Alligator mississippiensis: one gene and its partners. The protein of the gene in region 2 purifies or fractionates together with the protein of the main gene of each other region. This does not show direct contact. Links are inferred from orthologs where the notes say so. Each region holds a gene or a part of one and is shown on either strand. Other genes may lie near its edges.

Evidence for each region.
Region 1: the proteins of YBX1 (region 2) and NCBP1 purify together in Homo sapiens (co-immunoprecipitation; 3 studies listed by BioGRID and IntAct, with this or other methods). This does not show direct contact. The link is inferred for Alligator mississippiensis from reciprocal best matches to the Homo sapiens genes YBX1 and NCBP1.
Region 3: the proteins of YBX1 (region 2) and USP10 purify together in Homo sapiens (co-immunoprecipitation; 3 studies listed by BioGRID and IntAct, with this or other methods). This does not show direct contact. The link is inferred for Alligator mississippiensis from reciprocal best matches to the Homo sapiens genes YBX1 and USP10.
Region 4: the proteins of YBX1 (region 2) and MRPL27 purify together in Homo sapiens (affinity purification with mass spectrometry; 3 studies listed by BioGRID and IntAct, with this or other methods). This does not show direct contact. The link is inferred for Alligator mississippiensis from reciprocal best matches to the Homo sapiens genes YBX1 and MRPL27.

Annotation. Positions count from the first base shown.
Region 1 is NC_081826.1:152,928,565-152,935,749, reverse strand, and holds the start of NCBP1 (nuclear cap-binding protein subunit 1), read left to right. Parts: upstream 1-4,171; 5' UTR 4,172-4,309; coding exon 4,310-4,343; intron 4,344-7,185. Other genes in the region: TSTD2 (thiosulfate sulfurtransferase/rhodanese-like domain-containing protein 2), read right to left, coding at 1,867-2,058. UniProt on the Homo sapiens protein: Component of the cap-binding complex (CBC), which binds cotranscriptionally to the 5'-cap of pre-mRNAs and is involved in various processes such as pre-mRNA splicing, translation regulation, nonsense-mediated mRNA decay, RNA-mediated gene silencing (RNAi) by microRNAs (miRNAs) and mRNA export.
Region 2 is NC_081836.1:1,388,539-1,396,487, forward strand, and holds the start of YBX1 (Y-box-binding protein 1), read left to right. Parts: upstream 1-4,943; 5' UTR 4,944-5,079; coding exon 5,080-5,236; intron 5,237-5,440; coding exon 5,441-5,504; intron 5,505-7,949. Other genes in the region: PPIH (peptidyl-prolyl cis-trans isomerase H), read left to right, coding at 257-325. UniProt on the Homo sapiens protein: DNA- and RNA-binding protein involved in various processes, such as translational repression, RNA stabilization, mRNA splicing, DNA repair and transcription regulation.
Region 3 is NC_081833.1:72,402,512-72,410,013, reverse strand, and holds the start of USP10 (ubiquitin carboxyl-terminal hydrolase 10), read right to left. Parts: upstream 3,001-7,502; 5' UTR 2,903-3,000; coding exon 2,882-2,902; intron 1-2,881. UniProt on the Homo sapiens protein: Hydrolase that can remove conjugated ubiquitin from target proteins such as p53/TP53, RPS2/us5, RPS3/us3, RPS10/eS10, BECN1, SNX3 and CFTR.
Region 4 is NC_081831.1:11,348,599-11,355,854, forward strand, and holds the start of MRPL27 (large ribosomal subunit protein bL27m), read left to right. Parts: upstream 1-4,245; 5' UTR 4,246-4,279; coding exon 4,280-4,325; intron 4,326-7,034; coding exon 7,035-7,157; intron 7,158-7,256. Other genes in the region: crossover junction endonuclease EME1, read right to left, coding at 271-409, 658-791, 1,037-1,126, 3,666-3,796, 3,878-4,187.

The DNA of each region.
Region 1 (7,185 bases), on a different chromosome or scaffold from region 2:
TGCTGTGCACAAACCAGGGGGGCACATGCCCCCCATGCCTTGCTCAGGGGTGTGCACAGCGGCAGGGAACCACCCCCCACCCCATGCGCCCTCCAGATGAGCTTCCCATGGCTCTGTCCCACTCCCAGTGGAGTTGCACTCACCGCCCTGGCTGCGCAGCACCTGCCCCTGTCCTACTCCCTGCCTCACCATGGGGGCCTCAATCTGCACACCCCCTTTCTCCCCTGATGCCCCTTCGCCCACAGACTTACAGCCAGACACTGATCTCCAAGCTGCTGGGCTGCATTCCCGGCTGTGTGCATGCCACAGCTGCATGCATGCATGCACGCAGCATTTATCCCTGATATTATTGGCCAAAAAAAGCCGATTACCAATTATGTTAATTTTCCTGTTATCTGTGCTGATTCGAAATGCGACTGATATATGGGTGCACCTCTACTTAAAACTGTAATAACCTTCATTTACCCCAGGCAGCAATCCATATTGAAATGGAAGTTCACACTCAAATCACTGCTGAAGAATTAACCACCTGCTGTTCTTTGCATCTCTGTTAAGTCTGAACAAATGCTGTAACTGATCAATGCAACATGTGGGGTATAGCAGCAGATACCTGGCCCCACTGCAATGAGGTTAAGTGCAAGTAGGAGACAGCAGGGAAGGCTACAGAGCAGGAAACTGCTGAGGGGAAAGACAGCTGTGCACAGCTGCATTCTGCCTGATTCCTTGTGCTGCCCTGAATCGAGTCTGACCTTCAACTGGATCTGGTGTGGGAGCCATAGGCTGACAATCCCTGCTCTAGGCTTGAAACTTAGTTTTGAATTTGTATTTACATCTTTTTTGCAATAGGAAGTTATTATCCTGCAGTACCAATTTAATGCAGTGAAGTCTCTTCTTCAGATATCAGCAAAGTCCTCAAATATATATCACCATATTTCAATCCCACACTGTTGAGCAAAGCACTTAAAGTTAAGTCTGTGGTTAAGTACTGCACAGAGCAGGGGGCTAAACTAGCTGACCGCTAAAGCCCTTTTCCGTCTTATTTATCTATGATTTCAGGTGCTTTGCTGAGTCATGGCTTCACATCATGTCAGTCCTTTAAAGTAAATAAATGGTGATGACACTGCTGACTCCTTTAGTTTAAATCAGGGCTCCTGAACTAGCAGCCCACAAGGAGTTAATTTATGGACTCATTCTCTCTCCCCTCCCACAACTTGGTTGCCCATGCCCTTTTCACTCTAGGCGGCAGCAGCAGCAGGGGCTTAGGACTAGTATTCACTGCCTAACCCAGCCTCTGGGAGCAGGGCAGGGCAGCACAAAATGGCACAGCCCATGGTGCCAGGGAAGCCAGCAGCCCCAGGAACATCTGTGCAGCATGATGCCACTAAGGAGCCTGCAAAAAGCTGCAGGTGAGGCTGGGCACCTGCTTCTGTGCATGCAGTGCAGTGGGGTGAATGAGTACCTGTCCGTGTGCTCAGTGCAATGGGATTGGGAAGCACTTACCCACCTGGAAAACAGTACAACAGGGTAAAGAAATCACCTGTCCTCACTCACAGTGCAGTGGGCTGGGGGAGCACCCACCTGTGTGTGCAAGGTGCAGTCTGAGGGGGCCCATGGCCTCTGCTAGTGCAGCCCCCACTGACTCATCCCATGGGGCATACAGTCCCCAGCTGCTTAGAAGTTGGACAGCTCTGATTTAAATAATGTGATGACAACAAATTAATTTACAGCCAAATACAATAACAAGAAGTAAGGCAATTGGTATGAACAAAATGGTGATTCTATGAATTTAGTCACTCAAACTAATGAAGGAATATTGTTCTGTGCTACATAAAATGAACATATGTAATAAAGTGAGAGAAAACATACCTTCTTCTTTGCAAATGCATACTTCTTTCTCACACTGGCATCTAATTCCACTTTCAGCCTAGGTTTGGATGTGAGAGGAACAGATTCTTTCAGATCCAGCTCTGGAAATTTTAATACACAAGACTCCACTTCATCTTCTCCAGCCAGCAGCTCCGAGGAGGAAATCATTGCTACAGCACCAGAGCTAGGCATAAGTTTCCTAAAGAAAAAAGGTGCAAACAACGTTTTAGTATGTACACTAAGTAACATTATTTCAGTTTCACACATACATTTAAAAGAAAAGAAACTCATTGTTAAAAAATATTTCTCTGCAGTCTTTTACTGTCACTGTCTTACAACAGCAAAAGAGTGAGCAAGCTGCAAGTTCTATCCTATTATTAGGACAACATTTTAAGAATATACAACAAATTTCAAGGAAGAAGTAATCAAAGATCTGTCCTAAGATCCCCAGCATCAAATAACTGAGAGCAGAAATATCAGACTAAGTAGTGAACAGGAGACTTGTGCAGTCCCCTCCACACTTTAATTTTGCCAGATGGCTTTAAACCTAAACAATAACTATTTTTTAAAAATCCTGGCCAGTTTACAACTGTGTGATGGATCAGTGGGTCAACTATTGCACAGGGGATTAGAGTTTGATGCTAGAAGGTACAGTTCTTCCTCCCTATAGGCCTCCTGTTCCCTCTGCTCTCATTTGCAGGAAGCTAATTCTGCTGAGTTTGGCTACTGAAGGAAGCATGTCTAACCCCACACCCTTCATCCTGGAAATGCTTTGGTTGAGGAACTATTTACAATTCACAACCTTTTTGCAACCATTTTTTCCTAACAAAACAGCAGCTGCAAGGCATTTATCCCAGTGGTGAAACTATCAATACAAGTCAACCAAACCCACAAGATGCAGCAATGAACTAGGCAGATAGATGTTGCATCTGGAACACTGGCTCTCAAACAGAGGGGCAGCATCCCCCTGGAGGACCATGAGAACATTTCAGAGGGTCTGCCTGGCCCAGTCCCCCTGGGCTGAGGCAAGTCCCAAGGAAGGGGTGGGAGTGGGCTTGCCCCACCATCTCCATCTTCTGGGTGGTGGCTGTGGGCAGGCAAGTGAGGCTCTGTACTGCTGCTGCTCAGTTGAGTGGCCACCAAGTCCCACTCTCTGCATCCAGGTATAGGTGAGGCAAGCCATGGAGGTTTTATAGCATGCTGGGGGAATGGGGTGAAGAAAAACGTTAAGAACTCTTAACCAGGACATGGTTCTGGGTGTGTCTGGTGTTCTCTCTCTCTTATTGTGAAACTTTTTCAGAAGGACCCCCACAGCCTGAACCTCCACCAGGCAGGTAGCAGTTCAGTGGCACAGCAGATTTCCAGAAAATGCAAACTACGTACCAGGTGTTCGCAGCGAGGGCCACGTAAAGCAAACAGGTTAGGAGATGGTTTTAAACAGGCAAGTCTGTTGTCAGCGCAGAAGACAATGGGTACCTCCCTGAGCCGAGTCACTGCAGATACCCCATCTCCACTGAGTGTGTCCCCCCTTGCTATCCTGCAATAGGTCCTCTGGCGTCTCAGGGGCTGCTGTACATTCAAATGAAAGCTGGATAGAAACCAGCTACAGATATCACCCATTTTCAAGAACTTTTTTGCTGGTTGGTTCTTTTTGTAGCCAGGGGCATTTTTATGGTGGGACAATTACTTTACACTTGCAGCTGGTCTAAACTTATTGTGCAACTGACCAGTGAATCGCAGAGCATACAGAGCGTGTAGCCAGGGCCTGGGCCAAAGGCCTGGCCCGAGGCGCAGGGCTGCAGGCCTGTCTCTCATCTGCACCCCTGGCAGCCCTCGGCGCCGCCAACTGCCTCCCGGCCCGAGGCAGCCTCGGCCGCAGCGCAGAACTTGCCCCGCGGAGACGTGGTGGAGGAGGCCGGGCCCGAGCCCGAGCCCGGCCCCGGCCGGCCCTCCGGAGAGACCGAAGCATTGGCTTCGACCAAATGCCGAAGGCCGCGGGGAGGCACCGCCGCGAGTGCCGCGGCCGGGCCGGGCGCACTTTAGTCCACGGAGACATAAGCCTCGAGGGGAGGGGAGGGGAGGGGAGGGGCTGGGCCTCCCAGGAGAAGGTGGCTTTTACTCGGACGCCGACTCAGGCTGCCGGCTCACGGCGACCGCAGCACTTACTAAACTCTTAGTCCGGGCCGAGATATCCCGCGGGTCTCGCGTGCCCACGTCATGTAGCGCCTGAGCCACTTCCGGGCTGGGTAGAGGACGGCGGAAGCTACTGCGGAGCCTCTTCCTCCTCTTCCCCCGCCCTTTGCCCCGGAAGGCGCTTGTGGCCGGCCGGAAGTGGGGAGGGGGAACAGAGCGCGCCAGAAGCGCCCGTTGCCGCTGCGGCCTTCGCTCCGCGCAGATTCTCGCCCGCCCGCTCACGGTCCCCGGTGCCGCCCCGCCGCCCGGCATGTCGCGGAGGAGGCACAGCGACGACAGCGATGGTGAGGGCCCGGGTAGCGGCGCCCAACCGGGCAGCGCGGAGCGGCAGGGTCCCGGGGCCGCCCCGCGCTTCCTGCCCGGGGGGCGGGGAGCCTCCCGGCGCGGCCTGGGCATCTGCCTGCGACCAGCTGTAGGCGCTGGGATCCGCGCGCGGGTGAATGTGTCGGCCGCGTGCTGCTCTCGGTCCCGTGCCGGGAGCGTGGCCGCGTCTCGTTTTACTTTGGGGAAACGAATGCGAACCTTATGTTCCCAAGGGCTTTGTATGGTTTGCTAGGTGTGGGGCAGGGGCCAGGGCCTGTCAGCCATTTGGGGTTCCTTGTCAAGTAGCAGGTGCTAAGTGCATGTCAGGAAAGGAACGTGGGAGGTAACATCTGTGGCAGCAGTTCTGGTTGGCATATCGTTCCTAATGTATCTTATCTGCATCGGCAGTGCTGTGGCTCCTGCGACCCTGTGCAGGATCCTCCGATGTGGAGCTCTGCTGTCTTCCATAACTGCCTCTAACCGTGGTCAAACTCCTCCCGTGTCCTGGGCTGGATCAGCATTCTCTGGGCTGTATCCAGCCCAAGTCATGAGGAAGCAGCAGCTCCAACTCTGACCCAGAGCACATGATGGTGGTGGTGGTAGCTGTTGCTCGGACTTGGGGTACACAGCAGCATCTCTGGCTCCAGTATGGGGCATGGGGCAGGGACCAATGGCCAGAGAGTCAGGGGCATGGCAGGTAGGCATCACATGCAGAGGGTGACTGGGGCTGTGTGAGCCCTTGCTCACCTTACTGTCACCAGTTGCCTCAGTCACCATGTCCTGAGGTCCATGGATTTGGCAGCAGGCCTCCCACTGCCCACTTTCCCCTGGTCATGACCCACAACTTCTGGGGGTCCAACTGCTGGTAGTCCCATAGTCCAGGTAGAATGGCTGTGTAGGGTAGACCTGGCCTGTGGGCCATGTTTGACACCTGGCCTATGATGTTATAGGGAAGCATTCATGCAGTATTACTTAGGATCTGTGGATCTGGCAAATTATTGTTGTATATAAGCCTTGCACATCAGTATACTGTTTAAAAGTGGCTGTCTACGTACGCATTGTCCACCTAGATTTTGATTTTTGACGCTACATTAGATGAACAGAGAAGGCAGAAACAAAGGGTGAAATGTTTCTGTTAGCCTGTGAAGCTGTATTATAGACCAAAAGAGGCTTCCTATCACTCTGAAACTGTGAAATTCCTTTATAAGGAGTGATATGGACTAGCACAGCATGTTGGTACTATTTGCAACAGAATCCAGCCACAAGCACTGCAAAAAACTAGTGTGCTATTTCACATGGATCTTCTCCCTCATAGCAACTAGTAGTCTGCCTGATATCCTGGAGTTCTGTTCCATGTGCAGCTACTGGATAGACTGACTACAAGTGCTAGCCATATGCAGATGACTAACTGCTCTACTTTTACCTTTTTATACAGCCATCTCAGTATTACCAAGGTATCCCAGTGCCTGCACAAAATCAGTTATAGATGGACAGCATCTGTCTAAACATAAACATGACCAAGAGCTAGTGTGCAGCCTTCTTTGGTTAAAGATGACCATAGTAACTGGTCAGTTCAGTCTGTGGTATTGGTGAGGAGTGCAAGAACACAGATCCTTCTGTCACAGACTGTTTCTTGCTGCCTTGGCATCATCTTGTCCTGGCAGACAGTGACCCCAGTCTATTCTACACACTTTTTGTCATTTCCCATCAGGTTTACTGTACACTTGAGGAATAAGCCATCAGCATTTAGGAAATCTGAACAGTAAAAATGCTGCAATATTTCCTCAGTGATGTAGGCTGCAGTAGGGACATCGGATTGGCCCTCTGCTCTTTTTCTTTATAACATAAAATCAAGTTTAGGTCACTTTTCATGTTTTCAAGGTGCTCAGCTGCTTGGAGTCAGTACATCTAAAGTGTTATCTACGGCTCTGGGGAGACTGTTGTTGACAGTTTTGCTGTTCTGGTGTGGTGGAATCTTCTGCCCAAATGGGAAAACATGTTTGTGCAGGGAGTGCATTCTAGTCTGGAATTAACTTCCTCGGGAATAGAGGACTAGCATCAGCCTTACCACCTTCTGCTGCAAAGACAAAGTGCATTCTACCTGGCTTGTCAAATGGACAGAATGACATGTATGCTTTAAGAAATAAAACAAGATGAGCTAACTTTATGTAAAAATCTCCTCCCACCACTACCTCAGGAGAAGACAGAATGGCAACATTGGCTTAAAGCACTGTTAGAGTATGTTCAGATATTAGTGACATGAACAACATAACAGTATGTAGGAAAAAAATAGAATAGGTTCAGCACTTTGGGCATATATAATTAAAAATGAATTAATAGTAGATTCTCTACCCATGCAGAATTTTATTATTTTACTGCTTGGGTTTTTTACCTTTTACTGGCAGAGATGAATTCCAAATCATTGTTTCAACTTTTAAACCCTTTTAATAAGTCTCCGTTTTTTTTTTTAGTTTGCCAGAGTCTCAAGTGTCTAGTCATTTTCCCAAATTAAAAAAGTGTAAATACATTTAAAGGGATCTATGATACAATCCCTTGCTCAAGGTTCATCACATTTTAACACAGGTGTCAGAGAACACAATGGGATGCTTAATGGGGAACATAAAATTAATAAAGTTAATTCTCCAGTCATTTTTTTAGCTTTATAATATGCTGCTATTGGCATTGTGAAATTACTTCCTAATAAGATGTCAAAATTGGGCATTGTATGAAGAGTAAGATTTGTGTAGAAGTACAAATGTTGTCTTTGTTAATTTTAACATTTATTTGGTCTGTCTTGGATAACAGTAGTAATGTCGTGTGTCC
Region 2 (7,949 bases):
TCATAGGGTCAGGGTCTTCCCCGTGCATCTCAGCTCTGCATATCAGGGAGTCAGCTGGGCTCGCGGAAGGTTTCAAAGCTGCTCTCATGAGAGAGAGCAGCAGTCAGGAGGCATCCACAGTCCACATGCAGGTTGCCATGTTCCTGAGGCTCAGTTAGCATGGATGTCTCTTAACCCTCAAAGCAGGTGGTGACTTTTGCTGACTTGTTGGGTATTTATATATTGTAACTGTGAATTTCTGTTTTCCCACCCCCAGAACGTACCAACTGGTCCAAATAACAAACCCAAACTGCCTGTAGTGATCTCGCAGTGTGGTGAAATGTAGAGCGGTGAAAGCAGAAATCTTGGTAGGTCTGTTGTTCTTCATCAGCTTGTCTGGAGAAGTCTTCTGAGAGGAGACAGTGATGGAAAACCATCTGTTACTGTCTTGGATTCTTTCATGTGGGCATTAGTGATTTGAGGTTCTGCCAAGTTTCAGAAGAGCAAAATGTTTCATGCTGCTCATAAGAGGCAAGTAAACCTAGACGCCTGAGAAGCAATTGTTGCACTTCCTAATTCAGGGCAGGTTTGAGACTCAGTGCCTGAGCTGAGTGCCATGGAGCTGAAACCCTTCAAATGAGGGCGGCAAAGCCCACTGAAGGGCCCAGTTATTGCCACGTGACATCACCTGTTCTTAATGCAGCCAGTATCATTGTGCTGACCTACCATTAGGTCGGGTTAGATACCGTTGTGATCCAGTCTGCCCTGGGTATAGTAAGACCTGAATCGTTGCATCTGGGGACTTTGCAACCTGCTGAATGTCAGACAAGCTGCTCGGCTGGGTTTTTTTACTTCTAAGGGCACTGCTTCTCCAACTAGCTGGCTCTCCACTGTGCTCCCAGGTAGCTGACTGGAGAAGCAGTAGCCTTGGAATAAAAGCTGCAGCACCTGGGAGGTTCCTTGCACCTGTTTGGGGCAGCTCTGTCTACCCCCGCATGCTGCACAGACCCTCATCTTCACAGGGGCCTGCAAAGTATCTGGATGGTCCTCTATTGCTACACAGCAGCGCTGTGTGTAAGTAGGCTTTGGGTTACTAGCGCAGTTTCTTTTTCTTACCCTCAGCTTTTTGTTCTGTGAGCTCAGATAACGTGGCACTGACTTGTGTGCATTCTGCTTGCTGCGCCTGTTCCTGTAACTGCTCTTGTTCCTTGTCCACTCCAGGTCTGGTCACTGTTCCCACATCACGCGTCCCTGCAGCTGCCTCAGCCTGATCCTGCAGGTTACAGCTGTGCTGTTGCCACTTCACACCAGGAGTTTCAGATATTCCAGGTCTACAACTTTTTCTTAAAAAAGAGAGAGAGAAAAACCCCCCAAGTCCCAGATGTAAATAAAGCCTTTTGATAAATGTGTGCGCAGTGTGTTCAGTTAGAATAGTCAGGGTTGAGCTTTCCTGTCCTGAAGGCCACATAATCAGTCCAAACCAACCTTTGTAGCCAGAGGCTTCCTAAGGCAAGTTCTTCTTGCGCAGGTGAGCGCCTCACTGGTACAGGAGCTCCTGCACCAGCTGCCCCCTGCCTCCAGCTTACTTGGGAGGGATGTGGTGTGGGCCGAGTTGGAAAGGAGATGGCAGAGCTGCCTCGTGCTGCACCTTCGCTGGCTGCTATAAGCTGTTGGAGTGCCATGCAGTCTGACATGGGTCCGCTAGCCCTGCAATAAGGAGCCAAGCTCAGTTCTTCCTGAGCAGAATCAAAGCCATGCCGTGCAGGCTGTGCTGGCTGGGGTCCAGGGAATTGCCAGGGCCATTTTGAGGCACTTGTTTCACTCTTGCCACTCCCTGCGTTTAGATGACTAGGGAAGAGATGAGGTGAGGCGTAAAGATTTCATGAGCATGAGTTTGCTGTGACCGTGTGTGAGCACTGAAAAGGAAGGGCTGAGGTCATGCAAGTCATTTGAAAGATGTAAAAGTGTTAACGGCATGTATCTCTGCCTTGTGCGTTCTGTGCGTGCCACGTGTTGCAGAAACAATACAAATAGGCTGGAGGCAAGACTTGGAAAAATACCAGGCTCCCACAGGCTTGTCAGGTACCCAGCAGCTGTCACTGCGAGGAAAGGGGTCCTTGTTCTTTGGACCAGTGGGGCAAAAAAACAGACTTGTTTTAAGATGGAGTTTGATATAACTTGATGAACCAGGTTGTATGATGTGGGTCGCTGCAACAGCAGGGGCCTGGCCTGGATGCACCTTCCTCACCTAGAGGCTTTGTATTAATAAATATTTGTGACACTAGAGAACAGGAGGAGGGAAAAGAGAAATGAACTCTGTCGCACTGCCTAGAGGCGCTCTCGGCACGGAAGAGTCGGTAGAAAGCCAGACCCTTAGAGACCCATTCAGAAAACTAGCTCCTGAGCCCAAAATGAACAGAGAGAGCATTTCGGGGCTCTTTGGACATCAGCCCTTCATCAGGGCCAGTGGTGTGAGAAGTCGTATTATGTTACTTGTCACACCCATTATTTCTAGCAGAAAATGATTTTAACAGCTGCCCCCTATGACTGCACATTTGCCTCCACGCTCTGCCTTCCTGGTGGCCAGCACGCTGGGAGCTCTTGCCCTAGGGCTCTGCTCCATCCCCTCAGCCGCTGTACAGGAGGATAGTGGCAGAGGCCTCCTCCCGGCATCTCATAAAGGAGGGGCGTGTGTAGCGGGACCCCTGGCCCCTGCTAGAGGGCAGGTGGGGTGCAGCTTGCAGGAGGGGCTGTGAGCAGCTAACATGGGAGTGTAGAGCCTGTGTGGCTGCAGCAGAGTCGAGGGCTGCTGGGCCCAGTCTGCAGACTGGGATGACTGGTAGCACTTGGCCTTGTGACCAGAGAGCCCAGTCAGGTGACTGGAAGGTGGGGAGGGGGCAAAAGGAGGTAACATGCCCGAGTGTGGGGCTGGGGGCACAGCCTGGCCCAGATCCCCACGGAGCAGGAGCCCTGCAGGTTGCAGCATGCAGAGATAAGTGATTAATTTTGTTTCCGCTCTGGGTTTGTGGCACCCGGAGGCTTGGGAGTGGCGACAGGAGTGGGAGGAAGTCACGGAGGGTGCTGGGGATAAAGGTCAGGCTGACAGACGGATGGTTACCTGGGTTATCGTGTTTACCCGGTGGCGCGTGCCCCTGCCCTCCCCCCCGCCTGTTTTTGTGGGGCAGCATCGCGGGGAGCTCATATCTGCAAAAGTGTAGCACCTCTCAAAACTCTAGTACGGTGGATGTGCCTGTCGGCCGGGCCCCGAGCGCACACGCGCCGGCCGGGCCAGTCTGATTTTCTGATGGCGAGCCACAACCCTCGACGCCGGAGCTGTCAGATGTGGTCAGCGTGGCCCCCGAGCTGGGGGAATCAACGCTGCTAACCTGCCCCCCGGGACTGGCGTGCTGCATCTGCAGGTCAGCGGTAGCACGAGCCTTGGGGTTCGGCGTCCGGGCTCCGCTCCTGGCTAGAAGCGCGACTAGGCGCAGAGCGGCGGTTACGAGCTACAGCCCTGGAGCGGCCTGGGCCGCTTACAAGAAAAGGCCGAGCAGGTGGTGTCTGTGCGACCCGGGCTGGTACCAGCCCCAGCAGCGACGGGGGTCCGATGCGCAGGTCGCGCTGTGAGCTCCTGCCTCGCCGCGGGCGCGTTACCGCGCAGGACCAGGGGCCTTGCAGGCCCCGCGCCAGTGCCGGCGCCTCTGCAGGGAAGAGTGGTGTCGCCCGCCATCTCCCTGACCCGCTTCGGCCTGGAACGTTTTTGACCGGGGGAAGTAATCCTGGTCCGTGAAGAAACGCTCCTCCGCGGGATCGCAACCACCATCGGGAACCACGTGGGGCCCGTCCGCCTGCGCTGCCCCGCGGGAGGGCACTCCCCACCCCGCGCAGCCCAGGCAGCGGTCAGTCGTGGGGGCAAGACCGCCCCGGGCAGCTCCGCCGCCCCCGGCTGTGCGTGCGCCTCCTGCTCCCGGCCGGGCCTTCGCGCCGACCGCTTCGGCTGCACGGACGGCCCAGGCGGCCCTCGCTGGAGGGCGGGCGGGCAGCGCCTCCCGGACGCCTTCCGTGCGGGTGCGCAGGTGGAGGCGCGGCGCGGGCGGCGGGGAGCGCGCGGGGCTGCGCACGCCAATCCCCCGCGGGCGGGGCCTGCCAGCCCGCTTCACGCGCGTCCTCGCCGGCCTGTCACTCGAGCGGTAGCGGCGCGCAGCGCAGGGGCGGCGCACCGCACGGGCGGGCGGCCACGCCGCCATCGTGCTGCCCGGCTGCGCCGCCCCCGCCTACACCGGCCCCGCGCTGCCGCGCTCCCGGGGGCGGCCGTCCGTCCGTCCGTCCGGCGGCCGCGGCGCACCGCACCGCTCAGCGACCGAGACTTCCTCCTGCGAGCCTCGGCCCCGCGCCCCGCCGCCGCCTCGGGGGGAAGCAGTGCCGCGGGGAAGCGCTGGCGGCGCGGCAGCCCGCTGCACCCCGGCTGCCGGCCTGCTCCCGCCACGCGCGGCCCCGCGGCGCTGCCCGCCCGCCTGCCGGCAGCCTCCGCGTGCCCGCTCTGCGCGGCCGCTCCGCGGGGCGGGGCGAGACCCCGAGGGCATGTCCGCGTCCTGTCCTCCGGCGGGGCCGCAGCCAATCAGGCTGCAGGGGGGCGGGGAAACCAGCCCGGGAGCAAAAAAAAAAAAAAAAAAAAAAAAAAGGGGGGGGAGAAAAAACACCCCCTGCGGGCCGGAACGAGCCGCGTAGCCAATTGGCGCGCGCGGCCTGTGACAGCCAAGCCCTGCCGCCAATCGGCTTGCATACGGGCTGGACGGCCCCCTGAAGGGCAAGCGGGCCGGCCAGCGAGCGCGCGGGGCGGTGGCGGAGCGCAGCCAACGGGCGCGCGTGGCGCCTGACAGGCGGCGGCGGCAGCCAATGGGGCCGCGCGCGGGCGGGGCGCGGCGGGTGGCTAGCCGGCGCGGGCCGCCATTGTGGCCAGTTCGATCGGGATCGGGAGCGGAGAGCGGAGCCCAGCGAGCCCGGAGCAGGGAGCAGCCCCCGGCCGGCCTCAGTCACCATCAGACCCCGCGGAGCGGCGCAGCCAGTCACCACCACCGTCCGCACCCCGCCGCCGCCGCCATGAGCAGCGAGGCCGAGCCGCAGCCGCCCGCCGCCCCCCTCCCCGCCGCGGCGCCCGCCGCCCCCGCCGACTCCAAGCCGGGCGGCGGCTCCGGCAACGGGGGCGGCGGCCTGGCCTCGGCGGCGCCTCCCGCCGGCGGGGACAAGAAGGTCATCGGTGAGCGCGGGGCCGCGCGGAGGGGCGGGGGGCGGGCGCGGGCGGCCGTTGGCGCGGAGCCGTTGGGCCCCGCGTGGCGCGGGGGGGGCGGGGCGGGGCGGGGCGGCGCCTCAGCCTCAAAATGTCCGCCACGCGCGGCCTTTGTGTGCGGCCGCCACGTGCCCGGCCCCACCGCCACCGCCGCCTCCGCCTCCTCTCTTGCAGCAACGAAGGTTTTGGGAACAGTGAAATGGTTCAACGTGCGGAACGGCTACGGCTTCATCAACAGGTGAGCCTGCCCCCCCACCCCTCGGGCGCTGTCACCGGCAGCCGGGCCGGGCTCGGAGCCCCCGCGTTACACCCGCCGCACGGCCCGGCACGGCCCTGGGGGAAGGGAAGGCGAAGGCGCGCGGGGGTTTTGTTACCGACTCGCGATGCCGTCGGCGCCGAGAGGCGGCGCCGCGCGTTTTTCCGGAGTTGAGCTCGGGCCCCTGCAGCGCCGGTTACGAAGGACTGACGTCCAGCGGGAATTTAAGCCTGAGAGCGCGCTGCCCGCGGGAGCCCTTTTGGAGCAGCGTCAAGAAGCCGAGGGCCACGTTGGTGTCGGTCGCGATACCAAGGGGGTTTCTGAAGCTTTCCTCGCTTTTGAGGCTGTTCTACACTTTCTGCAGTACGGAGGGGAGCTGTGACAGGCTGGCGAGGGCCGTCCGGCAGGGCCGTGGCGAGGTGCTGAAGTCATCGTGCGTTAATAAAACGCAGCTTGGTAGCAGAGTCCTGCCGCTGCCGCCCGGGCTGTCACTGGGCGGGCGGGCGGGCGGGCGTCCGCGCCGAGCGGGTGACGGGCTCCGCGTGGCTGGGGCCTGGCCAGCGGTGTCCGACTCGCTCAGCACACCAACGAGCTGTAGCTGGGGGCAGCCGCGTGTCTCGCTGTACGGGCAAGCTCGCTGGAATTTAATTACTTCCTGCCCAGCTGCCCGGGAGCTTTTAACAAGTTGCTGTCTTGCCCTTTCCTCCCTAACTTGGTAAGATCTTGAGGTTACACAGATGAGCGTTAGGAAAATGTAAATTACTTGAATCCTGAGGTTTATGACACAAGTGAAAGAGAGGTATTTAATTACAGCTGAGGTGTGGCTTTTAATTCCTGCCATGTCTGCCTCTGTATAATGCGGAGGTGACATGACACTGAAGGCCTGCTTTTTCCAGAAGAGGCTGGGTAGGGTCTGATGTTTTATTATTTGACAAATTGACTGTACTATTCAACTTCATGATCCCAACTTTTTAATTGGATTGTCACATTTTGAAACTTAAGTGCCTTGCTTTTCTATAGAGTTGGATTTCCTGTGTGGTTGCCAACTTCTGTAGTTGGACGTTGAATAATAGCTTGTTGTTTGGTGCTAAAGTTGTAAGTTCTGGCAATTCTGCTTTTGGTAAATTTGCGTAAAACGGTACTTTGCCAGTTCTGTAGGGAACGCCGAACTACACACTTGAAGAAAAGAAACAATGCAAGAAAATGACAGCTGATAGTTAAAAGGCATCTGAATGTTTCAGAGCATGCATTGGGCTTAATCCCCTGGGTTGTCATTTTAATGAGAAGCCCAGCACGATCTCGTGTTAACAGGACTGCGCGAGAAGAGCTGCAGCCTGAGAAAAGGAGCTAAAGGGCATGTCCACAGTTCTGAGCTCTGGCTAGTTAACTGTAGGGGAAAAAAAATCCCTTAAAAAAAGGTGTGGGGCGCTTTACTGCTCTTGCATCTAACTATATCTTTCTGTGAATATATTTGCAATTCAGATCCATCCTTTTTGATGGAAACATCTGCTGGCTTAAAGACAACATTGCTGCTTTCTTTCTAATTATTTTGTGTTTTTAAAGTGTATTTTCACTCTGAATGTTGGCCTGAGTCCTAAAAAAAACAAACCTGTTGTTGTTTTTTCTAGCAGTTATCATAAATAGTAAGTGGTTCAGAAGGGCATTGATACAGCCCTGTTACTTATCTGCAATTGCAGCTCAAGTGTTTAGCGGTCTGTTAATGCCACTTCATAACAAGTCCTCTGGAGCTTTGTCTTAATCAGCAGATCTGCTCTGCATGAAGTCGGACCATAGTCCTTGTTCAGCCAGTCCCTCTTCAAGCTTTGCATTATGAAGAAGTTGAAAAGATTTGTAGTTCAACAAGATAAGCAGAAGGCAGGAGGAAGCTGAGCACTCAGCCACTTTGCATTATGAGGTGTTTCAAATGACACCAGCCAGCTACAAACCCAGATTTGTTAAAAGGGAGTGAATTTGTGGATCTCATAGTTGGAAAACATAATTTGAAGCAATGAGTTTGGGACTTAAGAAAGTCATCTACAAGTTACTAATTTATCCAGAAAGAGTACATTGATTTGTAAAGGCTTTTTTTAGAAGTAAATCTTATTGTCCGCTGTCAGACAGGATCCTGGATTTGATGGACCACTGATCTGATTAAGTTTGGCTAGAGTAGAAGTGTAATTAAAGCTTTTTAATGGTCCTTTATCATTTATAGGCTCTTATCTCGCACATGCTTAGGATTGTGTTTGTGTTCTAGTTGGTTGCTTTGAGGCCATTACAGGTTTTCCTTGAAGATGACTGGAAGTTTTGGATCATCTTAAGCCTACTAGGCATCTGGTATCTATTGTAAATCCCCTTGTTGGCATTAAATGAAGTTGAAAGGTGGACATGGATGGCTTGAGACATCTGATGTGTGGAGAGCTACGTATG
Region 3 (7,502 bases), on a different chromosome or scaffold from region 2:
CTTCTTAGAATAATAATTTTAAAAAGCACAAGCAGCCAGTGCAATTGAACTGTGATGGGATATTCTCAAATGCATTTTGTACGGATCATCAAAACTAATTTTAAACTGAGCTTTTCAACGAGTCAGACACTCTCCTTTCAAATAAAAGCACTACATGTGTAATGAAAACCTGTGTTTAGTCTCCCCCATCCTGCTAAAAATCTCTTGGTATGAGAACACTGTTTGTGCAAAATCTGACTCTGTGTTTCAGATTTCTCACAACAGTCTTCTTGAGCTGCAAATTATGATCTTTCCTTTGTGACAAACTATTTTTAGCAATTAAACTCAAAAATACCTATCTTGGGGGAAGACAAATACTATGCGATTTAGAGTTCCAATCTTGGAACATTTTGTTCATATTAAACTTTTTTCCTCAGTCTTTACCCTAATACATTTTGATGACGTTAAAAATCAGTAACACAGCTGCATCAAAAACTTCACCTTCATTCATATAAGAAACTTTTCTTCTTCACCTCAGCGTTCCATAAACTGCTCTCTTGAGGATGCCCTCAGAAGTCATTTCCCTGCCAAGTTTTACTCACCTCCCTACTTTAAGCATTTAAAGCAATATCTTTCTATAGAACAAAATACAGATGAGCAAAATCTGCTGATAAAAATAAATTTACCAAGATTATTGGCAAAACTGTTCTATCAACTCATTTGTTAAAGATATGCACAAATGGGCTTAAATCCTGAGTTTGATATACTGATTTTTACCTTAAGGGCAATCTCACTGACAACAAGAATACTCAAGGGTATGTAAAGTTAAACTCAATTCTTTTGGATCAGGGCCCTAATGATTTTCATTACAAAAAAAGCAAGTACTGGAAAAAGCAAAGGTGAAGGCATGTTACACTTAAACTAGTTTATTTTTAAGCATTGTGCAGTTCTACTAATTGATCAGCCCTACTAATTGATCAGCACTATTTCTCAAAAAGAAACATCAGGACAGGGACCAAGATCTGCCATGGGCACATCATGAAAACCCGCCTTTCAGTTTCACATGATACCTGAATAAAAATACCTGTATACAATGCCTGTTATACTCAACTCTGGGGACTGAGAGCAGGGTGGATGGAGAAGAAAACAAAAATGCTTGCAAGCTGAACCTTGAGATTTCTGTTTTCAAACGCTGCAAGTTGTAGTCTGCCTGCTAATTACCATGTATTGGTCAAGCTCTTGCAAAGTTATGGAGCATAAAACTATATAAGCACCATGCTACGTACTAATACATTAAGTACAAATGAACAAGGTGTAGAAACTTTAAGTACAATGACAAGGCAAAGAAACCAAGCACTAAGTGTCCAAAAAAAAAAAAAAAAAAAAAAAAGCTTACAAAATCAGGCCCGACAAAAATGCAACTAGAGTAGTTTCATCAAGTATAAACTGTGCTTCAAAAATGCTATAATTAATAGGAAGTTTTCTTAGAGCTGTATATTTTAGTCAATAACTTTCAGAAAGAAAACAGAACAAAACGCAGTACGTGACCATCTTAGCTTAACACCTTTTTTTTTTTTTGGATGAAATGTCATTTTTCCCCCAACCCCATGAAACAACAGGTAGCAGGCCGCCGTGCAAGGGACAACGCAATCCAAGTTCAGGAAAACTTTGGCGTGCCCCCCCCCCCCCCCCCGCTTCAAGATATATGCTTACAAAAAGATGCTCCCTCAGCCTGACAAAGGGTGTCTGAGCCCAAAAACTTGCTAAGAATTTTTCCAACTATTTGAGTTGGTTTAAGAAAAGATATCCGATTTACCCGAACAACCTCGTCTGCCTACAAAAAGCAGCGCCCATCAGCGCGGGCAGGCACTGCTGCTTTACGCCCGTCTTTAAAACCCCGAGCCTCCACCTTGCCCATTCAAACATGTGTCCCGCCTCGCCCCGCCCCGCCCCCTGCCCGCCCCGCCCCCTGCCTTTTCTTCTTGCAAAGGCACGAGGCCCAAACGGAGCTGCTGGGACACCTTTCAACCTTCCCCTAACGTCCACAAAAAAGAAAGAAGGAGGAACGCAAAGGAAAGGGGAGGGCAGAGGGCATTTCATCCAGGGCACAAAGACAGCTTCCTGTGCCCGAGGCAGACAGCTTTGCATTGGAAAGCCTGGCTAGCGTTACCCCAACAGGGGAGTTGGTCCAAGTTAAAAAAAATTAAAAAGGGGGGAGGGGTGTTAATACTCAGAAACCAGAGAAATACAGACCGACAAACAGCGCTACCCCAATGAGGGAGCTGCTCCCACTTAAGGGGGAGGAAGAGGGATAGCCCGGAGAAACCAGAGCCTGGCAGAGTGAAAGGAAGAAATGAGAAAAGAGAAAGGAAAAGAAGAGAAAAAAAGGAATTAGGAAAAGAGGAGGAAAAAGAAATTAGGAAAATAAAGGAAAAGAAAAGAAAAAAAGGAATTAGGAAAAGAAGAAAAAGAAATGAGAAGAGAAAATAAATTAGAAAGGAAAAGAAAATAAATTAGAAAAGAAAAGAAATGAGGAAAGAGAAAATAAATTAGAAAGGAAAAGAAAATAAATTAGAAAAGGAAGCAGCCCCCCGCTAGTGCTGCACCCCCTGCCCCCACCCGCCCCACCCTGCCCCGCAGTCCTGTCTGCAAACCTCCCGGCCCCGGCCCCGGCCCCGCTCCCCGGCGCGGCGCGGCGCGGCGCGGCGCAGCGCAGCCGGCGGAGGAGCGGGCGCGGGAGCGGCCCCGGGAGGGGGCGGGGAGGCGCCGCGGCCGCCGCGAGGCGATTGAATGAGGCCGCAGAAGGGCGCGGGGCCTAGCCGGCAGCATGCTGCCCGCGCCCCGCGCCGCCCCCCGGCTCCGCCAGCGGCCCGCGGGCCCCCCGCGCGGGGCTGGGCCTCACCTGGGCGCTGTTGAGCGCCATGGCGCCCCCGCGGCCCCGGCTGCTCAGCGTCGGCTCGGCCCCTCACGCCGCGGCCCCCGCCGCCGCCATCTTGTCTCCCGCACACACCAGCCGGGCGGGCGGGCGGCGCACTGCGCAGGCGCGGGGCTCGGCCCGGCCCGCGGGGCGACGTCTGCGCATGGCCGGGGAGGGAAGAGGGAGGGGGGCAGTGCGCAGGCGCAGCTCAAGCCCTAGAGGGGCGGGGCTGGGCTGGGCTGCAAGGAGGCAGCGTGCGCAGGGCTGGGGGCCTGGGAAGGACCTTTGCTGCCTGATGAAGGGTGTCTGCGCCCAAAAGCTTGCACTTCAAAATTATTATTATTATTATTATTTTTTTTTTTGCAAAAAATCTAATAAAAGATAGGCAGACAGGGTTCCTTGGGTGAATCTGATATCTTTTATTAGACCAACCCAAATAGTTGGAGAATAGTTTTTAATAAAAGATATTATCTCTGATTGCTTTCTCACCCCTGAGGCATGCACAGAGCCACGAAAATATCCCCTGCTGCTTTTCTACCTTGGAGAACTCATAACACCAGCAGACTCTCCCTATGCCTGGGTGTTTGTGCCCAAAACCTTGCAAAGAACAATTTTTTCCCCCAACTATTTTGTTGGTCTCATAAAAGAGAGAGAGAGCTGCGTCTGCCCATGCCTCTGAGCTTGAGGCTGACCCAAGCAGCACCGTCCTCATGCTTTGCTAAGCACCATGGCTGGTGCTCTTACCCTTTTATGATCTGTAAAAGTATCGCCACTCATGGGAGAGGTGATATTTTTTATTAAACCAACTAGATTTTTGCAAAAAAAAAAAATCATTTGACCCCAGCTGCCTTCCTGCCCCTTGCAAAAATCTAGGTCGTCTAATAAAAGATATCACCTCTACCAGCTATCTAGGTTGTAGCCATATTAGTCTAGAGGAAAAGGCAATCAGGACTTGTAGTAGAGATGATATCTTTTATTAAACCAAAATGGATTTTTCCATCTATTGACACCTCTGAAATCTTATGAAATATGAACTTTCGTTTCTACCCAAGAGAATTTGTACAATCTTCTCCAGTGCCTGATGAAGGGTATTTGTGCCCGAAAGCTTGCAATTAAAGAAATGTTTTTGCAAAAATATTGTTGGTCTAGTAAAAGATATCATCTCTACCATGGGTCCTGATTGCCATCACCTCTACCACAAGTCCCGATTCCTTTTTGCCTCTGAACTGACATGACTACAACCTGGATACCAGTAAAAGTATCTGCGCATAGGCAGCCTTAAAGGACAGGCCTAGAGGCACAGCAGGCTCAGAGAGAGAAATCTGTCCTACCTCCATAGTTAGATTTGGAGGTGATCAACTGAACTCACTACTTGGGTGAGAGAGATTTTAGGAAAGCTTTCAGAGCACCAAGAAACCAGGGCCTGGCCCTGGCAGAGACAATTAGGCTTGCAACACAACCTCTGCCCACATATGCACACACCCCTCTCTCAGGTCTCAAATAGCAGCAGAGCTTGAATTAAATAAAGGATAGCACCCCCCAAAAAAATATTCTTGCCTCTCACACATTTCCTAGACCATTGAGGCTATGTCACTCCAAAAATACTCTGTAGTTCTCATTTATCCTGGTTCTGTGCAAGCTCAGGGTGATTCTTCCTCTTGCAAAGCTGCTAATAGCATGTGTAAAGGTCCTAAATTGTTCTATGCGCCCCAGAAAATAGCACCTCAATGCTAGTCTGGTCCCCCCCACCCTCACAATGCTATATCCCATGCGTGAAGGAGTTGTCTGCTCCATTTGACAAACTAAGTGAGCATTCCCATTCACTGCATCACGGCAAAGTAGACGAGCTGCCATATGCAGTTGGTGAGCAGGCAGGATAACGGGTAGTATATCTGCAATGTATTAATAAAAACCCCGATTAAGAACATACACACGTGCGGTCACGGGCTGCCTCCAGAAATGTAGAGTGCACGCCACGACGTCCCAGGATACGCTGGAGTGCAACCAAAGTTTTGATGTTTGCCTTCACCACTGAAACAATTAAATCCTAATTGAACTTTGGGAAAAAATGATGCATGAAGACAAATAGAAAGGAAAATACAGGCATATGTAGTGACATACTGGGCTTTTCCTTTCCCTGCAAAAATCTCCCGACTGATTTTTTTTTTTTTAATTTAATCTTCACTTTTTTGCCCGAATAAAAATATTGTCCCTGGCTGTTACCAACAATTTCAAGTGAAACTATGAAATGAAGCATTAGAAGAACTGAAATACCCATCTCTGCTGAGCTTACGATTAGGGTTGAAGCTAATATTTGATTATTCTAGGAGTAACATTTTCCTCCATAAAAGCACCAGAGATGGAAAGCTTTTAGCCACCTTGTTTTGATAAGAGGCCTTACCCACTGTGCAATTCAGGTGAAGCTGCACTAAGTGTGCATATACCAAAGCATGAGCAACTTGATGGAATAAGGACTTAAATTTCTCAGCAGATTATTTTTTTCTGTATTTGCTTTTGTACCTTTTCTCTGCCACACCCCAGCCCTGCCACTCCCTCTCCTCTGTTTCTGACAAGTGTTGCTGTTTTAATCCGGGCCGGGAAGAAACTAGAAGTAGAAAACATTGCATGTTATTGAGGAAAAACAAACAGCTTTAATAGTTTTAAGGCTAGGCTGAAAAACAGTCTAGGTGTTTATTTTACAAGGAAACTAGTGGGTAGGTACAAACTCTTGGAAAGTTTACCTTTGTTGAGGGCAAGACCCATGTCAGGCTAGAAAATTTGCTCAAGTAAAAGCAAGCAGTTGACAGGGAAGGGTGTAATTATAAATGGCTGAACTTATAGATGAGAATGCTGCAGTATCACACCACCCACCAGTTTTTTAGTTAATTAATAATTATTCCAAGCAGTAGCTGATGGGGAAAAGGTGTGTGGTTAAAACAGTGATGCAAGCCATAAAAGAGTACCTCTGGCTGAGATTAGGGAACCAAACTCTAGTCTTTAAAACTTTGTAAGAGAATACTTGCCTTCGGAAAAAAGGGGGCTAGAGGTAAAGTAATGTTTGTAAATACAGATATTGTTGGTAAATTATTGGATATTAAGTCCAACCATTCATTAACATAGGATATGTTATGCATCATGCGTAGGATAATCAGTTGTAAAGCACAAGAAAACAAACCTCAGTATACTTTTTAGTTATTATAATTATATAATGTATCCATACAGGATGGCCATTTATGGATATGTCTTCAGCACCATGTGAGTCTGACTAGGTGAGCAATACATATCAGTACTATTGCATGAAGTACACAACATATGTTTCACAGTATTACTCAATTAAATTTATGGTTATAGCCCCAGATGAATAATTCAGCTCAACTGCAACCTCTGATTCACTATAGAGTTAAAAATCTTTTCAAAGCTTTTAGATTAGTAAGAGAAAATATGAACAATTTCCAAACCTCTTTTAAGGGCACAGAGAAATAAAGAGATCCTATTTTTTAGCAACTTAAAATGTTACCTAAACTGTGAGATTCTTTTGTGTTACCCTCTTAAAAAAAAACAAGACACTGCTGAACTGTTTTCATATTGTTACGAAGGGATGACAAATTACTACTAAGCTTCAAAGCCTATTATAGTACCTTCTGAAAGAACTGAATGTTGGTTAAGGTATCATATGAAAATGAACAAATTCTCAGTTTCACCAGGGGTTATCATACAGAGCTTGTCATTTTTAATATTTTTATCTTTGTGTAACACCAGGGGAACAGTGTGACATCTTATTTTTCAAGAGTATTTCATAAAAACTATCTTATAGTTCAGGCAACCATAACAACAGACTTTCACTTGTTGTGAAGTCTCTTTGATCTCAGGTTTTGCCAATTCTATCATCTGTTTGAAATAGTTAATGCAAAAATCCATTGCCCTGTGTCTGTTAAGCTCATCAACATCCAGTACGAAGACTTGCAAATAGCATCTTGGATCCATTTAATCTGTAAGAAATAACTTCGGCCGTTAGAAACCTGTTATTTTTTCCCCTACCACCGGCCCTAAAATAAAAGGCAGTTGAAGATAATTGCCTCCTTAGCTGTTGTACCGCTCAATGTTTCTTTTCTTTTCTTGCACTTTGTGGGTTGTGTGTACTTGCATTAAATAATCCACAGCAATGGCTACAAGTACAGTTCACATGCATTGCACTGTTACGCTCGAATCAAGGCACTTTCACCTTGTATCATTTTGATAGTTCAGATGATGAGCTCAGACTTGTACTCAGATATTTCATACTGGATTGCCTCACCCCTGCACTGAGTGGGAGAACCTAGTAGGTGTGCGAGACCTGTTGCAGGACAGAGACTGCATCAACGTGTACCTTTGAATAGGTAAACTCCATCCCCATCTCGGTAAACCTGCTTCCAAAGTGTGTTTTAGCCTGTCTGCTGAAACACCAAATGATTTGCAACAACAGAAAAAAATGCTTACAGACGCAAGGCACTTTAATGTGGAATAATTCAAGTTAACAAGCAAATCAATTCCAACTAACGACAAGTCAATTCTATCTCCTAAGGATGCTGGCGTCACTTTTATTCTACATTTCAATTCTCTATTAACT
Region 4 (7,256 bases), on a different chromosome or scaffold from region 2:
GTCTGCTGGGCTATGAAGGAAGATGGGTGTTAGGCTGAAGAGGCTATTACAGACATGGCATCTGGAACCAGCAGAGACATTCTGGTCTCCAGGGAGGGGAACCAGGTGTTCAGCTTTTGCCTGGTATGCAGAGCTTAGCCTGAACAGCTGCACTTGCAAACAGGGGTTTAAATGCTCCTTGCCCCAGAGATGGTTTTCTCAGGCAAAACCTGAAATTGAGAGAGCTTGCAAAGGAGAAGGTTGCTACATTCCTGCTCCGAGGTTACCCACTTCTTCCACGTCCAGCCTGGACACCTCTGGCCCAGAAGCCTCCTTCTCCTTCTGCCTTTTCCGTTTCCTCTGTCCCTCCTTTTGGCTTCCATTTGGCACTGCCTGTCGTGGCCTCTTCTGTGACTGACTCTTGTGAGACCTGAGAAAAAGACCCAGAGGTCACCTCTGGCTCTAGTCCCAGCTGACTGGGGGTAGTCTGCAGCTACCCCAACACCAGCCTCCCCTGACAGAAGAGGATAACTCTGGTTACAGATGCTCCCAACACCCAGCCTTTACCAGTATGAAATGCAACAAGCAACAGAGCAGAAGACTGGTGTCATTCTGTGTGTAGTCACTGGCAACACTTCTGCTAAGCTTACCAGAAACCTCTGCAGTAAGAATTCTAACCTTAGGTATTTCTCTAGTTCTACTACAGCCAGTGCCAGAGTCTTCCCAGGAATCTTCTCCATGACACGAGCCACAAAGCTCCGTAAAGTCTCCTTCTGTCCATCTGTGCTAGACTGGACTTCCTGCAAAGGCACCTGCAAAATGCCAGTTAAACCCTTTAAATCACACAGGCTAGGTCACAGTAGGAAAAGGTAATCGCTGGTTCCTGTACTACTGGAAAAATCAAATCCCTCAGACAGAAGAAAAACAGCTGCATTCTGAGGTTGCCTTCCAGTCCCACAGCAGAGGTGGTTCTATTCATGTCAGTGTGAAAGGTCAGGCAACGTTTAACATTCACACAGGCTAAACAAAGATCACATTAAAGTACGCAGCACCTCACCTGTTTGTAGTTGTAGATCATGGACACAAACTCCTCTGTATGAAGCAAAAGAAGGACGTTGGGTTCTTCTGTCCAGCTCTCTTCTTCCGCCTGCCCAGAGATGAAGACAGCTAACATCGAATCATTAGTGCAAAACAGTCCTGTTCTGATCCTAGCTGCAATGATGCTCAGGTTTACAGCCACTCATGGCCACAACATTTAGGAGGCAAGAGGGTGGAGCTGCTCAGGATGGTGATAATTATTGCCCAGGCAGCATCCAGTTATTAGCAATCAGAGAGAAAATATCCATGAGACTGAGACCACTGAGGCTGTAGGGAGCAGAGAAATGGGCCAACTAAGAGGAGAGCACTAAGAGGGGTTGGTAGAAAGTAAGGGTCTGAGAACACAGATAACCCATCACAGGTTTATCTGACATTCGTATACAGCATCAAACTACTTTACAGAGAACCAATGCTAGAGACATCAAGTGGAAATGCCAAGGCAGCCTGAAAAGTGGGGAGCAAACCGCAGAGCAGAGGTATCAGCTAACACCTCTGGGGAACGAGGAGAAGAAATTGAAGTGTGCGTTTGGGGAAGTATGGGGTCACCAGCTCACAAGTACAGCGGGGAGTATGCTGGAGAGGAGCATAGCTATCAGCAAGGGACCCTGAAACAAATTTCAAGAGGGACAGGATGTCAGCAAAGGTCACAGAGAAGGCAGGCAAAACGATCCCAGGTCCTGGAAGAACAGCATGCCAAATGGGCATGTTAAGACTCGCACTAGAGAAGGATTTGAGCTAGCGCAGAAAGGGAGGCAAGGCAGCAACAAGGATTTCAGAAGCAGCAAGGCCAAAAGGAGGAGACCATTTTAGGGACCATTCCAAGAGAGATTAAAAAAAAGGAACAGGGTTCACTTAGATCAAGGAGACACGTCAACATTTCTACCCTTGCAACCAGGGTTAAAAATTTTTGAGTTTCAGGGATTTTGGAGATGTACAATGAGATTTTAACACAAGAGAATGACTAATTCAGAAGCACCCCACAGTACGGAGTTATGGGTTAACCACAAGCTAATGGAACCGCAGCACTTTGCATTTCCGAGTTGACAGCTGGTGGGTGACTACAGCTACAGGACAAGAAACCCTCACACCCAGCACAGAATAAGAGAAACCAGAAGCATCAAGGCAGCTGCTCAAAACCTGACCTGTTTTCCCTATCTATATCAGTAAGGTTATTTTGCTGTGGTGCAAAATAACCGCACAGCTTACCACATGGAAGGGGGGGGGGGGGGAAAACGGGACGGGACGGGACACAGACTAGCTGTAACAAGAGGCACAGAGGCAGCAATCCTGACTTTGTATTCTTCCCCTGGGGGGGTGCATTACACAACGATATTCCCCAGCCGCTCACCAGGACCAGCTCTAGGTCCCTTTCGTGTTACTGGAGCAGTACAAAGAACTAGTGCGGGCACAAGCCAATCCAAATCACTTGGTCTTCTTATTTTTGATACCCACTTCCTGATACTTTAAGCAACCTTGGAACAAGCCAAGGCATCTGCAAGCTGGGGAAAAGAAATCCATTTCAGGCTTTTAAAGAAAACTTGTCCATTCCCATGGATTTACCGACAGACAAAATGCTACAGCTGCTCTGGTACGTGGGCTAGGACTGTTCATTCTCACACTGAGGGATGACCTCTACGCAGCTGAAGCTTAAACAACACAGAACACGTCTTCCATGGTAAGTAATCAAATGGGGGGGTTGAACTTGGGGAATATTTTTTGATCACAAATATTTGAGGGTAAAGCAAAAGCCTGTCTGTCAGGGACTGAATCAGGCCACCAGAGACAGTCCTTTATTTACCATCCGAGGTCTACTCCCAAAGGTGGGTTGAAAATAAGGTCTGTGCTTGATGCCAGCATCCAGTCCCAAGAAAAATGAGACTTTGAGGTCTTGGGCCCAAATACAACACCTATTTCAAGGCAAGAGGGACCTCCATGGTTTGGTTTTAAGGTTCATCAACAGCTGCTCAGCATCACTTAGTCCTTTACCACATAGTATATCACATAGCATGAAAGCAAAGCCACAGGCCTGCTCTTTCCCCAAAATGACAACAGCGAGCCGTCTCCTGAGGGAATCCCAAAGTCAAAACAAGGAACAGAATAAGCCCATCTCCTCGCTCGCTCGAAGGCGCTTCAGCGACAGTCTGGACGAACGCGTGGAGCTGCTGCGGTCCTTCCAGCTCTCTAGGCATCGAGCCCGGACGCGTGCGAGATGCTGTGGAGCTCACGGGGAGGCGAGAGCTACCCCTCGGCTCGCGCATTAGGAGTATTTCTAAGTCCGCGTCCAAATCCGCGCAGATCTCGCTCGCCCTCGGCTTTGTGGCTTTCCGTCTTCTCAGGCAACTGCCCGACTGCGGGGCCAGACGCGCCGGTTCCTCAGCTCCCCGCGGCGGCGGGCGGGAGCCGGAGGCGGCAGGAGACGAGGCTATTTCCCTGGTGGGTGCGGGCAGCCGCCCTCCGCCCGCTCAGCAGCGCCGCCCTCGCCAAGCACACGGCACCGCGGGGCAGACCCGCGCCCTGCCCGCCCGCCCGCCTGCGACTCCGCGCCCCGCAGGCTGAGGCCACGAGCAGGGGCCGTGGGGGTGCTGTACCTGCGCAGGCCCCGCCGCTCTCCTTCTCCAGGCCATGCTGCCAGCCACGGGCTGCGGCTCGATGGCGCAGGCGCAGCCCAGGGCCTGCAGGGCGCTCAGCACCTGCCCTCCGCCGTCCGCCTGCAACAGAGCTGAGGGGGCGTCAGGGGCCGGGGAGGCCGGGGCATCCTCGGGGGCCGGGGGGGGAGGGGGAGGGTGTGAGGGGCCGGTACCTGGGTCCAGCACGGCCGCCACCTGCTTCAGGCCGTCCTGGCCCCGCGGCTGCCCCCGGGCCGGGGCAGGGGGCGGGGGCGGGGGCGCGGGCCGGCAGGCGGGGGCGGGGGCCTTGCGCGCGGGGGAGGCAGGGACGGCGGAGGACTGGGCCGCGAACTTCCTGCGCAGCCGCTCGCATAGCGTCGGGGGCGCCTCGTCTTCACTGTCGCTGCTGAGTAACGAGATGGGCGCGGCGCGGCCCAGCGGCCCGAGGAAGACGCTAGCGGTCGGCAGCACCTCATCCTCGCTGTCGTCCGAGCCCAGGGACATGGCGGCGTTTCAACCTCCCGCCGGCCTCGCCTCGCCCCGCCCCTGCCGGAAGCGGAAGTAGCGCGCGCCGGAAGCGGCAGCGCCGGGGCAAGATGGCGGCGCTGGTGCGGCTGGGGCTGGCCGGGGCGAGCCGGCTGCGTGAGTGGGGGCGGGGCTCGGGCGGGACGGCGCGCGGCGAGTGTCATGTGCTGCCCGCGGGGGGTGCCCCCCGGGGGAGAGCTGGAGCCCGCGCCTCCTGCCCCATCGACCGCTCTCTGTGCTCCGCTCCCTACCCCACCGGCTGCTCTGCTTTCTGCTCCGTGTCTCATCGACTGCTCTGCGTTCTGCTTCCTCCCCTGCACCTCTTGCCCCATCGGCTGCTCTGTGCTCCACTCTCTGCCCCGTCACTTGCTCTGAGTTCTGTTCCCTGACCCATCGATTGCTCCGAGTTCTGCTTCCTCCCCTGCATCTCCTGTCCTGTGCTTCCACCCACCCTGTCTGCTGCTCCGCTTTCCACTCCCTGTCTTGCACCTCCTGCCCGTCCCCTCCGCTCCCTGTGCTGCCCCTGCCCTGGGTCGGATGCCCCCGAGCTGGAGTGCGCTGTGACGGGCAGACAGAGCGAGGAAAAGCCCCCAGCAAGGCCGGACCACGCCAGGAGAACGGACCTGCCCGTTCCGAACACTGGAGGCACCGGCTGCTCCCGGCCCCAGGGCAGACCTGCCTGAGGCTGCAGCGATCTGACTCGGGTTAGGGACCAGGATGCGTGCCGGGTGTGCACCTGGCTCAGTGGGGCAGCACTGCCTGGACACTCAGCGTAGCTGACACCTGGTTTCCTTCCCAAACTCTTCACAACAGGCCACGCTGCTGTTACCCTGCGACTGCCGTGGTGCTTAGTCCGGGACAGATGAGGTGGCTGGAAGCCAGGCCAGCGACCTGCTGCCTTGTGTCTGATCCATGTTTGCTGCCGCTCAGTTTTCACGTGGAGCCTGGGGGGTCTGGCTTTGACCAGAGTAAAGCGAACAAAGCTGAAATGGAGCAGAAATCAGAGCAGGGTGGCAGCCTTGTAGACTAGCTCTGGAGTAGCCACGTGGCACAGGCAGCCTCTGTGTGGCACATGGCAGACCAGGGCAAGAACTGGTAGCATAAGGGCAAATAGGGCAGGGAGACAAAGCTTAAATAACAGCAGATCAGGTTGGGGAGCACAGAACAGGGAGCAGAAAGCAGAGCAGCAGACTGGCTTAGGGGTACAGGGCAGGGGACAGAAAGCTGAGCAGCCGATCTGGCAGGGGAAGGGGGTGGGAGTGGCACTCGGGGAGTGTGTGGGATTAATTTGTGGCATGCCTGCCAAAAAGACTGGTCCTCTGCTGAAATGCCTTGTTCAGAGAGGCAGGAGCATTCGTGGGCTACAGCCTACTTTATGAAACGGTTTTGGCATCTTCTCATTTGAGAAACTGGGGCTGGCACAGAGGCAATAAGGAGTGGGAGTCTAAGCTTAAAACGTAAAGCACAGTGGAGACATTTTCTGCGCGGAGCTCAGGACCTTGGAGCGCTGCCTCTGATTTCCAGGGAAGCTTTTAGCAAGTTGTATAATTGTGCCTTGATTTCTCTGTCCATAATAGGTAGATAATGCTTTCCTACCTCGTTTAGTGCCGTGAGCCTTAATTGCTGTTTGTAAAGGGCTTTGCCATCTACTTGGAAATAAAAAAAATACCTTGGAGAGCAAAGAGAGGTATTTTTTTAGGGATTACATTCGTCTGCAGAAAGGTCTGCAAATCTCATTACTTCTTTTTCCTACCTCCCTGCTATTTACCCAAGTCACAGTCATTTTACTTAACATATTCTAAACATGTTAGATGAATGGTACCTTGTAGTTTAGCTTTCCCTTCACCCTTAATCTTTGTTAGGTGCTGAGTATCTGTGATCATTTAATTAATATAAAATTAATCCAGCGCTTTTCTGGGAATAAGGGAAATGAAACCACTCTGTAGCAGCATATAGAAAGCTGAATGGAGGGATTTAAAAGAAAGGAATATAGCTGCTGACCAGATGGAAAAGACTTAATTCGATCTGGGGCATTTCTGACAAACCAGAGTTCATAACAGGGTCAGAGATCTCGATCTGAAAAAACTGACTATAGTTACTGACTGGATTTTGTATATACAATTTTAAATGGCATAACTGTGATGTGAAGGCACATATGGGGTTTCAAAGAGAATAAAAGACTAACCACTTACTGCAGCTATCTTTTTTTTTCTAACCGTGGTTAAAAACCCTGATACAAGACTCCAAGAAAGCACTTATATACCTCCCTCAGCTTGGGTCTTAGTACAACTTTGCATTTTTAAAGGTACTTATCCCAGACTGCTAAAGTATTTTATAGTAAAACCAAGGACACGGGGTGGGGAAACCAAGCACAGAATGCTTGCCACATGCTCACAGAGCAATTTAGTGGAAGATAAACTCCCAAGAGTCCTGAATCCCAGTGCTCAGGTCATTAAATTAAATTGGTGGTTGATTTCTCTAACTGCATCTGGAGCCTAGGAATTTAAAATGCTAGAAGAAGTGTTACTATTTGTGCTTCCAAGTGCACTACTGAGAATTCTTCTCTTTCATAATGGACGGGGGCCATGTGGCTTGGTTCCATGCAGAAGAGAGGTACACGAGGAGGTAGACTTCATAATAGATTTCCTCTTCAGTTCTTTTACTGTCTTTGTCTCTATGTTGAACTGACAAACCAAAGCTTTCCTTTTTTGCATTTCAAAGGAAATGCAGTCATGTTTTGGAATTAGAATTTCTGGATGTATTTTGAATGTGCAGTGGAAATTCTTAACTGGGTTTTCTCTGTACTTATTCTTCATCCAAATCTAGTCGTGACTGCTCCCCAGGTGAGCGCAGTTGCAGCAAGGTGTGCATCCAAGAAATCCGGGACCAGCCCAAAAAACAAGGGTGGTCACAGAGTTGGGAAGCGGTATGGATGGAAGAAACTTGATGGTAGGTCCATCTGTTTGCTTAGCTGCTTTCAGCTTGCGTTCCACCAGTTAACTCCTTGCCAGGGAGTGCTTATGGGGCACTACTGAGCTTTGGTGGCAG